2 linked regions of the Ovis aries genome follow. The protein of the gene in region 2 interacts with the protein of the main gene of each other region in a biochemical or structural test. Links are inferred from orthologs where the notes say so. Each region holds a gene or a part of one and is shown on either strand. Other genes may lie near its edges.

What was found.
Region 1: the proteins of ACTA1 (region 2) and GC are reported together in a solved structure, tested with the Homo sapiens proteins (2 studies listed by BioGRID and IntAct). The link is inferred for Ovis aries from reciprocal best matches to the Homo sapiens genes ACTA1 and GC.

What each region holds. Positions count from the first base shown.
Region 1 is NC_056059.1:87,719,694-87,723,383, reverse strand, and holds part of GC (vitamin D-binding protein), read left to right. Parts: exon of another isoform or gene 1-81; coding exon 82-179; intron 180-2,065; coding exon 2,066-2,234; 3' UTR 2,235-3,690. UniProt on the Homo sapiens protein: Involved in vitamin D transport and storage, scavenging of extracellular G-actin, enhancement of the chemotactic activity of C5 alpha for neutrophils in inflammation and macrophage activation.
Region 2 is NC_056078.1:961,621-966,163, forward strand, and holds ACTA1 (actin, alpha skeletal muscle), read right to left. Parts: upstream 3,087-4,543; 5' UTR 2,997-3,086; intron 2,213-2,996; 5' UTR 2,201-2,212; coding exon 2,072-2,200; intron 1,967-2,071; coding exon 1,642-1,966; intron 1,540-1,641; coding exon 1,378-1,539; intron 1,277-1,377; coding exon 1,085-1,276; intron 990-1,084; coding exon 808-989; intron 723-807; coding exon 579-722; 3' UTR 331-578; downstream 1-330. UniProt on the Homo sapiens protein: Actins are highly conserved proteins that are involved in various types of cell motility and are ubiquitously expressed in all eukaryotic cells.

The sequences.
Region 1 (3,690 bases), on a different chromosome or scaffold from region 2:
TTGCCCAGAATTCTAATTTAACATCTCTCTGAAGAATGTATCAAGACAAGTAATTGTTATATAATCATTATTTTCTTACAGGGCCCTCAATTGACAAGGGAATTATCATCTTTCATTCAAAAAGGACAAGAACTATGTGCTGATTATTCAGAAAACACATTTACTGAGTACAAGAAAAAGTAAGAGTCTTATTCTGGCTGATTCCTTCAAATTTATAAATAATAATAGCCTGGTATTGTGATTTGAAGCAGGGCTGAAGACTTAAGATGTGTCAAGTGAGCAGTGAAAAGAGGAGATGCAATTTAAGAGTTGTAAAGAATAGTCAATCTAATACCTATATAAGAAAAAACAGTTCTTTTCTGGGGGGATGTCATGTATATCAGATGAGAGGTCAGTTAGAACGCAGTCACAGAAACATGAATTCCAAGATCCACAGGGACACGATTTAAAGAATATATAATTAATTCATATTAACACTCTTACCATAAAGTTATCTGTAGTTGTTGCTATACATAACAGAGAAACTAAAACTGCAGAAAAATATTATCTAACTTCATGGCTTATTGTCTGATAAGATGACCCAAACTTTCAATCAAGTACGGCGTCATCCATTACCAGTATATATTCTCTAAAAACTGGAAATAGAAATGTTAGTCAATAAGGTACAATCGCCATTTTTCTCAAGTCAAAGGAGGAAGCATGTCTTTATAGATAGGTGTTAATACTAAAATAACAGGTCATAACAAAAGTTTTATTGGCTTCCTAGAAAATCTCTCTGTAAGATCATGCCATTCTCAATTTCATTAAGCAAATTTCTTAGATCCATTTCAAACCATCAACAACACAACCCTCAAATAAGCACAAATACAACCTCATAAAAAAACCTTTTAAAGAATCCCAAAAGGAGGAAAACTGCAGTGACCCCTATGAAGACCTTAACAAAGTCTAAAAGAAAAATAAATGCGAAAGCCTTAAGTTCAAAATGGTTGTTTCTCATTTATCAGGAGATTATATAATTAATAAATTATGGAGGTGGTATAGAACATTACGGATAATACAAAATTGAGTCCCCTGCCAACAGTTTTGTTTTGAACTCTAGGGTTACATGGGACAATTCTGTGATAATTTATATAATCTCAGTACGTTAAAAGTGTTAATGCAGTAGAATTGCTATTTGGGATTTTGAAGTAGAAAAGATTGAAACTATTGAGTCTAGGTATTTAAAATCCCACACACCCTCTTTTTCTCCCTATCCTCTGAGTTGCATCTAGTCTGACTTCCTTGGGACCTACTATTTTCAATAACTCTTTAATAAGCAAGCGAATCCCCCTCACCCTTCTGTCCTTTCCCAGCATCCATTATGGTAATCCCAACTCTAGATAAATTTGGGTCTCCATTATGTCCCAATGCCCACTACTGGGCTGGCAAGTATCAATATTTCTTGGAAAAGTCATAAACCAGGCTGAGTTATCCATTATGAGGAGAGAGAGTTAATTCAAACTGGGAGGGACCATTCAAAATGGGAGGGAATCAAGAAAGTCAGATCCTAGCACCATCTTAAGTGGAGATGGAGAGTTCATAAAAAGCAGGGCTTAAAAAACACAAAGACCTTGCTGTGCCTTCCAGCATAGCTAGTTGAGTAGCAGGCAAACAGAAGAGATTATATATGAGAGAAAGTACATTAAGGTGACAAAGTCCTATATGGGAAGTAGTCTTTGAGGAGTTTGAAATCTAGAAGTGGAGAGAAGATGAAAGATTAGGGAGAAGAGAGGAGGAAGTCATCCATGTGATTGATATAACTGAGTGAATGAAAGGGAAAATAATAGGAATTCAAATTCAGCAGCAGGTTGTATGTTTACTTTTATGATCTAAAAAGACATAGATTTCACTTCCTAATCTTCAACTGAGACATCAAAAATCATTCCACAGATACTAAGTTTTCTTAAGGGTCACTATTTTCCTTTTTTGTTGTTGCTGTTGCAAAAGATCTGAAGTGGCTACCAATTGCACTGGACATGTTTATAGAATACATCTATTAGAACTTTACATAAAATTGGCCTTTCAGATTGGCAGAGCGGCTAAGAGGAAAATTTCCTGATGCCACGGAGACGGATCTCCAAGAGCTGGTTGCCAAGCTCTCAGACTTTGCCTCCAAGTGCTGTTCTATAAACTCACCTCCTCTCTACTGCAGTTCAGAGGTAAGAAAATTTAATGTTCTACTTATCCCTGCATAGTATGAAGAACTGGTATGGTCAGAATTGCTCATTTGTTATTGATTGCCTGTCCTACTCATGGGAAATGTCTTGTTGGTCTTTTCAGACACAGGTATCCTGTTTGTTCATATCCTCCATTTGACTCTTTATTTTCCAGCAGTTATTTCAGAATGCTATATTACAAGTCAAAAAAGATAAGGTCATTTCATTTCACTTTATGGCTAATTCAGAAGTAGTAATGACAATTCCAAGGATTTTGATGTTTCACCTGTTATATTTCTGGAATATAGAGGCAGGGTTAAGAACAGCTCTATGCCATGCTAAAACAGATTCTTCCTTGGCTCACCTTTCTAAAGTTCATGTATTCCTTTTGATTGGATTATACTATTGTTTATTTTGTAGTCTATTGGGAAGGAAATACTTATGGTCCATTTTGGACCCATCATTTTTATATCTATACATAAAAATAATTTTACTATGGTGTTAAAGTTAATACTACTTATGCCAGGGATTTCAGGTCAATTAGAAGTCCTTTTCTATAAATTAAAGGATTTTTTAAGAATTTATATGAATTTTTATGCAATTAAACCATGAAAACAACAAGCCTGATTTAATTCTGTGGATCAAGAAGATCCCCTGGAGAAGGGAATGGCTACTCACTCCAATATTCTTGCCTGGAGAATTCCATGCACAGAGGAACCTGGCAAGTTACAGTCCATGGGGTGGCAGAGTCAGATACAACTGAGTGACTAACACTTTCACTTCATTTTTCTATTATTATTCTAGTAGAGCACATCTGAAGATACCTAAGAACTTAATAAGAAATAAAATGTTTATATGAAGAAAACTATAAAGGTCGTTTAGTGTAACTTTTCACTCAGTTCATCCCTGCCAGAGGTCATTCGGCCTCCATTTAAATATCTGAAATTTGTTTTCTCCTAGAGGCAGCCTATTTCACTGCCCAGTAGCTTGATTTATGATACCTTTTTTTTCTCTGAAACATGATATTCCCCTCATAATTTCTGCTGAGTCTGGTCTGGCTTTCTCTACCAACTAGAAAATGTATTTTCTCGGTTCTCTGGTAGAGGTTCTTTTCTATTTCAACTGGTTTTCTGAAAGTTAGGGCTGTCAAAATTTTGTTTGTATTTAAGTCTTGGTTACACATTCTAATTCTTTTACATATTTTGGTGGTTTTATTTTTTATCATTCTGTGTGTGTGTGTGTGGTGTGTCTGTGTGTTAGTTGCTCAGCTGTGTCCGACTCTGTGCGACCCCATGGACTGTAGTCCACTAGGCTCCTCTGTCCATGGAATCTTCCAGACAAGAACACCAGAGTGAGTTGCCATTTCCTCCCCCAGGGGATCTTTCCCACCTAGGGATCTAACTGGGTCTCCTTCAATGCAGGCATATTTTTCACCATCTGAGCCTTTTTACCTTATCAATTTAACAAGCTGAGCTATATCACATTACTCATTTTT
Region 2 (4,543 bases):
GCGCTTTTCGCTCGGGACCCCGGGCCAGCACCACGGTCAGCGCCCTGCCTGAGGCGCGCCCTGGCCGCCCGAGCGCCGCCCCGGCGCCTCCGGCCGAGAGCCCTGCACAGGGGACACGCCGGAGGTCAAGTCGGGCCACCGCGCGGGTGCCAGTCTGAGGAATAGATCTGAGCCAGAGGGGAGGGCCGTGAGCTGCGGAAGACTGAACTCAAGGCCTTGTAAGGCCTGCACTCATTTAGAGTATTGTGAAAAGTGACGGAGGAAGACGGAGTCCCTTTTACTCCCCTACCCCGCAGCTCCCCGCCCCCGCAAATAAACACAACAGACAACTTTACGCAGCAAAACAGAACGGCTGAGTTTAATGCTTCAAGTTTTCCATTTCCTTCCACAGGGCTTCGTTTTAAAAATAACAAAATGAGGTAAACAATGTATGTACACATTATAAACAGTGTGTCAGTTTGCGGCAGCGGCAACGCTGATGGTTGGAGAGCAGCTGCGCGCGGTGGCTCGAGGTCAGCCGCCTGCGCCGCGAGCAGATTCGTCGTCCTGGGGAGAAGTCGCGGCTGTCGGAGAGGCGTCTAGAAGCATTTGCGGTGGACGATGGAGGGGCCGGCCTCGTCGTACTCCTGCTTGGTGATCCACATCTGCTGGAAGGTGGACAGCGAAGCCAGGATGGAGCCGCCGATCCACACGGAATACTTGCGCTCAGGTGGGGCGATGATCTGTAAGACAGTGAGGACCTGTCAGGGGCGCGGTCGCGGCCGGGAGCCCGTCACAGGCCGCGGCTTGGGCGAGGGCGCCACCCACCTTGATCTTCATGGTGCTGGGGGCCAGGGCGGTGATCTCCTTCTGCATGCGGTCGGCGATGCCCGGGTACATGGTGGTGCCCCCAGACATGACGTTGTTGGCGTACAGGTCCTTCCGGATGTCGATGTCGCACTTCATGATGCTGTTGTAGGTGGTCTCGTGGATGCCCGCCGATTCCATGCCTGGGGGCCGCGGAGGGGAACGTGAGACAGAGGGCGGGAGGCCCGGGGGGCCCGCGGGGCTGGCACGGGCCGGATGGCGGCTGCGCGGGGCTCACCAATGAATGAGGGCTGGAAGAGCGTCTCCGGGCAGCGGAAGCGCTCGTTGCCGATGGTGATGACCTGACCGTCGGGCAGCTCGTAGCTCTTCTCCAGGGAGGAGGAGGAGGCGGCGGTGGCCATTTCGTTCTCAAAGTCCAAGGCCACGTAGCACAGCTTCTCCTTGATGTCGCGCACGATCTCGCGCTCAGCTGCGGGGAGCGGGGCGGGAGAGGAGCCCTCAGCGCGGGGTCCCGGGGGCAGCGCACCGTCTGCCGGCCCACCCGCCTGGGGAGCCCGCGGCGCCGCGCACCTGTGGTCACGAAGGAGTAGCCACGCTCGGTGAGGATCTTCATAAGGTAGTCGGTGAGATCGCGGCCAGCCAGGTCCAGACGCATGATGGCGTGCGGCAGCGCGTAGCCCTCATAGATGGGCACATTGTGGGTGACGCCGTCGCCGGAGTCGAGCACGATACCTGCGCGAGGGTGGAGTCGGAGGTGAGCGGCTGCGCTCTGCTGGGCGCTCGGGGAGCGGCCAGGCGCTCGGGAAGAGGGGGCGGGGGCTCCTGGGCTCTCACCGGTGGTACGGCCGGAGGCGTAAAGGGACAGCACTGCCTGGATGGCCACGTACATGGCCGGAACGTTGAAGGTCTCAAACATGATCTGGGTCATCTTCTCGCGGTTGGCCTTGGGGTTGAGGGGCGCCTCGGTGAGCAGGGTGGGGTGCTCCTCGGGGGCCACGCGGAGCTCGTTGTAGAAGGTGTGGTGCCAGATCTTCTCCATGTCGTCCCAGTTGGTGATGATGCCGTGCTCGATGGGGTACTTGAGGGTCAGGATACCCCTCTTGCTCTGCGCCTCGTCTCCCACGTAGGAATCTTTCTGCCCCATGCCCACCATGACGCCCTGCGGAGCGGATATACCAAGCTCTCATTACCGAGGTTCCCAGTGGAGCGGGGCTAGGCCGCGTGGGGACCCGGCCTGGCTCCCTCCGGGAACCGGCAGCCTGACCTGGTGACGAGGGCGGCCCACGATGGACGGGAACACGGCCCTAGGGGCGTCGTCGCCGGCGAAGCCGGCTTTCACCAGGCCAGAGCCATTGTCGCACACGAGGGCGGTGGTCTCGTCTTCGTCACACATGGTGTCTGGTTTCTGCAAGGACAGGAATGCCATGGAGACGCTCAGTGTTTCAGGCACGAGGCCCCGCTGGCTGGAGCGCCCTCCCTCCCGGGGGACCTATGGACACCTCCAGCCTCCAGCCCCCAGCCCGGCGCCATCCTGCCGGGGGAGCAGTCAAAGCCGCGCGGGCGGAGCTTCGCTGCTGGGAGCTCTACTGCGAGGAGACCGCAGAGAGCGTTTCTCCACCTGGGAACTCAGGACACACGGACCCCAGAGCTCTCTGCCTTCGCTGCAGGCACCGCCCTCTCCGCCCCTCCCTGGCGTCGCATGGGGGTCAAGGTCCGTGAACCCTGATTGCTGGGCCACTGTGAGGGTGGAAGGAGACGCCGTGGAAAGGGCGTGGGTACTCCGCCAGAGCACGAATGGCTTATTTTGGACCTCCATGGCACTTCAGACTCACAGCCGAAACGCCCTTGGCTGTGATGGCGAGCCAGGGGATACTGTCCCTTCTACTGCCCTTTGGTTCTGTTGGGAAGGAACTACCCTGGGGAGGACTACAGCAAAACCTTTCATCTGCCTCGGCACGCACGAAGTGTCAGGGAGAGCTGCCCCCAAAGGGCTGGGAATAAATTTGGAGATCTTTCCAAAGGACCCGGCCTCCTGTCTCTTCTTTAAAGCACACGGGGCTCTGGGGCCAGAGGCCGGCTCACAGGGCGCGGGGCTGGGGCTGATGCAGTGAGTGGGCCGCACTCTACCCGGAGTTCTCCCGGCTGCCGCGTGGGGCCTGTCCTCCTGTCCCCACCCCGCCCCTGCCTACCTGGGCGGGTGGCTACACCTGCGGCTCTCCGGCTCCGGTCCCGGTCACCGTGGGAAGGAAGCGAGACTTCTCGGCGCTGTCCGCTGCGGTGGCCGCTCGTCCCCCTGCTCAGGTTTTATATAGCCCTCGGGCGCGCCCCTCGCGCCGCCCCGCAGGAATGTCGCTCCCCTTCTCAAGCCATATTTGGGTGTCGGGCACTAGAGCCCCCTCCCCTGACCAGTTCGAGGCCTGGGTCCCCGCCCGGGTCCCCTGCGCTGACCAAAGAAGGAGAGGCCTGGCCTGAGCCCAGGTAACGCGGGCCGGGCCGTATATGGAGCGTCTGCCCGGCGGTCGGCCCCGCCCGCCCCCGCCCCGCCGCCTGGCGGAGGGGCTGGGGTGCGGCGAGGGTCACCGAGCGAGCGGGGCGCGCAGTGGGCCTGCGCCCGGGCTGCACCTGTCCGCAGCCGCCCCGCCCCCGGCCAGTCGGGGCTCTCGGAGCCTCGGGAAGGTGCGCCCGCATTTCACCTCTGCTTCGTTCGGGTTCTTTACCCCCCAACTCAAGTGTGACTCCACCGAGGAGGGCTCTGTATCCTAGTGGTGGGGCCAAGAGGACCGGAGACGCGGTCAATCCCGGAGTCCCGGGCAGGGGAGGCAGATTCCCCCCAGATTCCCAGCGAACTCGGCCTCTCCCCCAAGCCCGAGCTCCCCAGCCCAGAGGGCTGACGCCGCCGGCCCCCACCCCCACCGGAGAGGGCCACCAGCGGCCGGCGGGCGCGCAGCTGTCGCCAGGACAACTGTGGAGAGTCGGGGAGGAGGCGCTGGGCAGCGGCTCTGGGCTCTCGCAGCCTCTGGCACTGAGCCAGGCCCCCCAGCGCTGCCCGCCTCGGGGACGCGCTGTGGGCTCGGGAGCTCAGGAAGGGAGAGAAGTTGAGTGACTACCTGCCCGGCTCCGGAGTATGGCAGGCTGAGCCGAGCACCCCACTCCCGCATCCTTGGCGGGGCTCACCGATGCCCCAGTCCTGGGCAGGAAAGGCAAGTGTCACAGCCCTAGGGTGGGAACTGAGAGGTGCTCTTACTAGACGACGCCTCACCAGTCTCTCCTCCCTGTAAAGAGGACAAGGGCATCGCGCTCTAGGATGGGCAAAACCTTTCCCTTCTGCAAAGGCTGAACAAACTCATCGTTATATTTAGAGGGTGATGCCCAGCCAAGGCCAGCTGATTCCCAATCCACCTTGGAGAGTCACCGTCCACCAGAGCCTGCTGAGCGATTCTATTTATACCGCTGATACACTGATACACGGGGGATCTGTCTTTCTGATTTTCTAGAAGGATTTGGATCTACTTATGGTAAAGGTGGAGTAGGGGTCAGAGGAGGTTATTAAGTTGGTGCTTCTCACTGTTTTTTCCCCTGGGGGGAACAGTTCTAACCTTGCTGTGGAAGGTACAAGGAGGAACAATTTTCTGCAATGAACTCAGGGACATGCTTTAAGGGGTACATCAGTGATGTGGTGTGAGCCAGAATGGAACCACTCATTTTTCTGATGTGCTCAAGTGTTCCCAGAATAGGA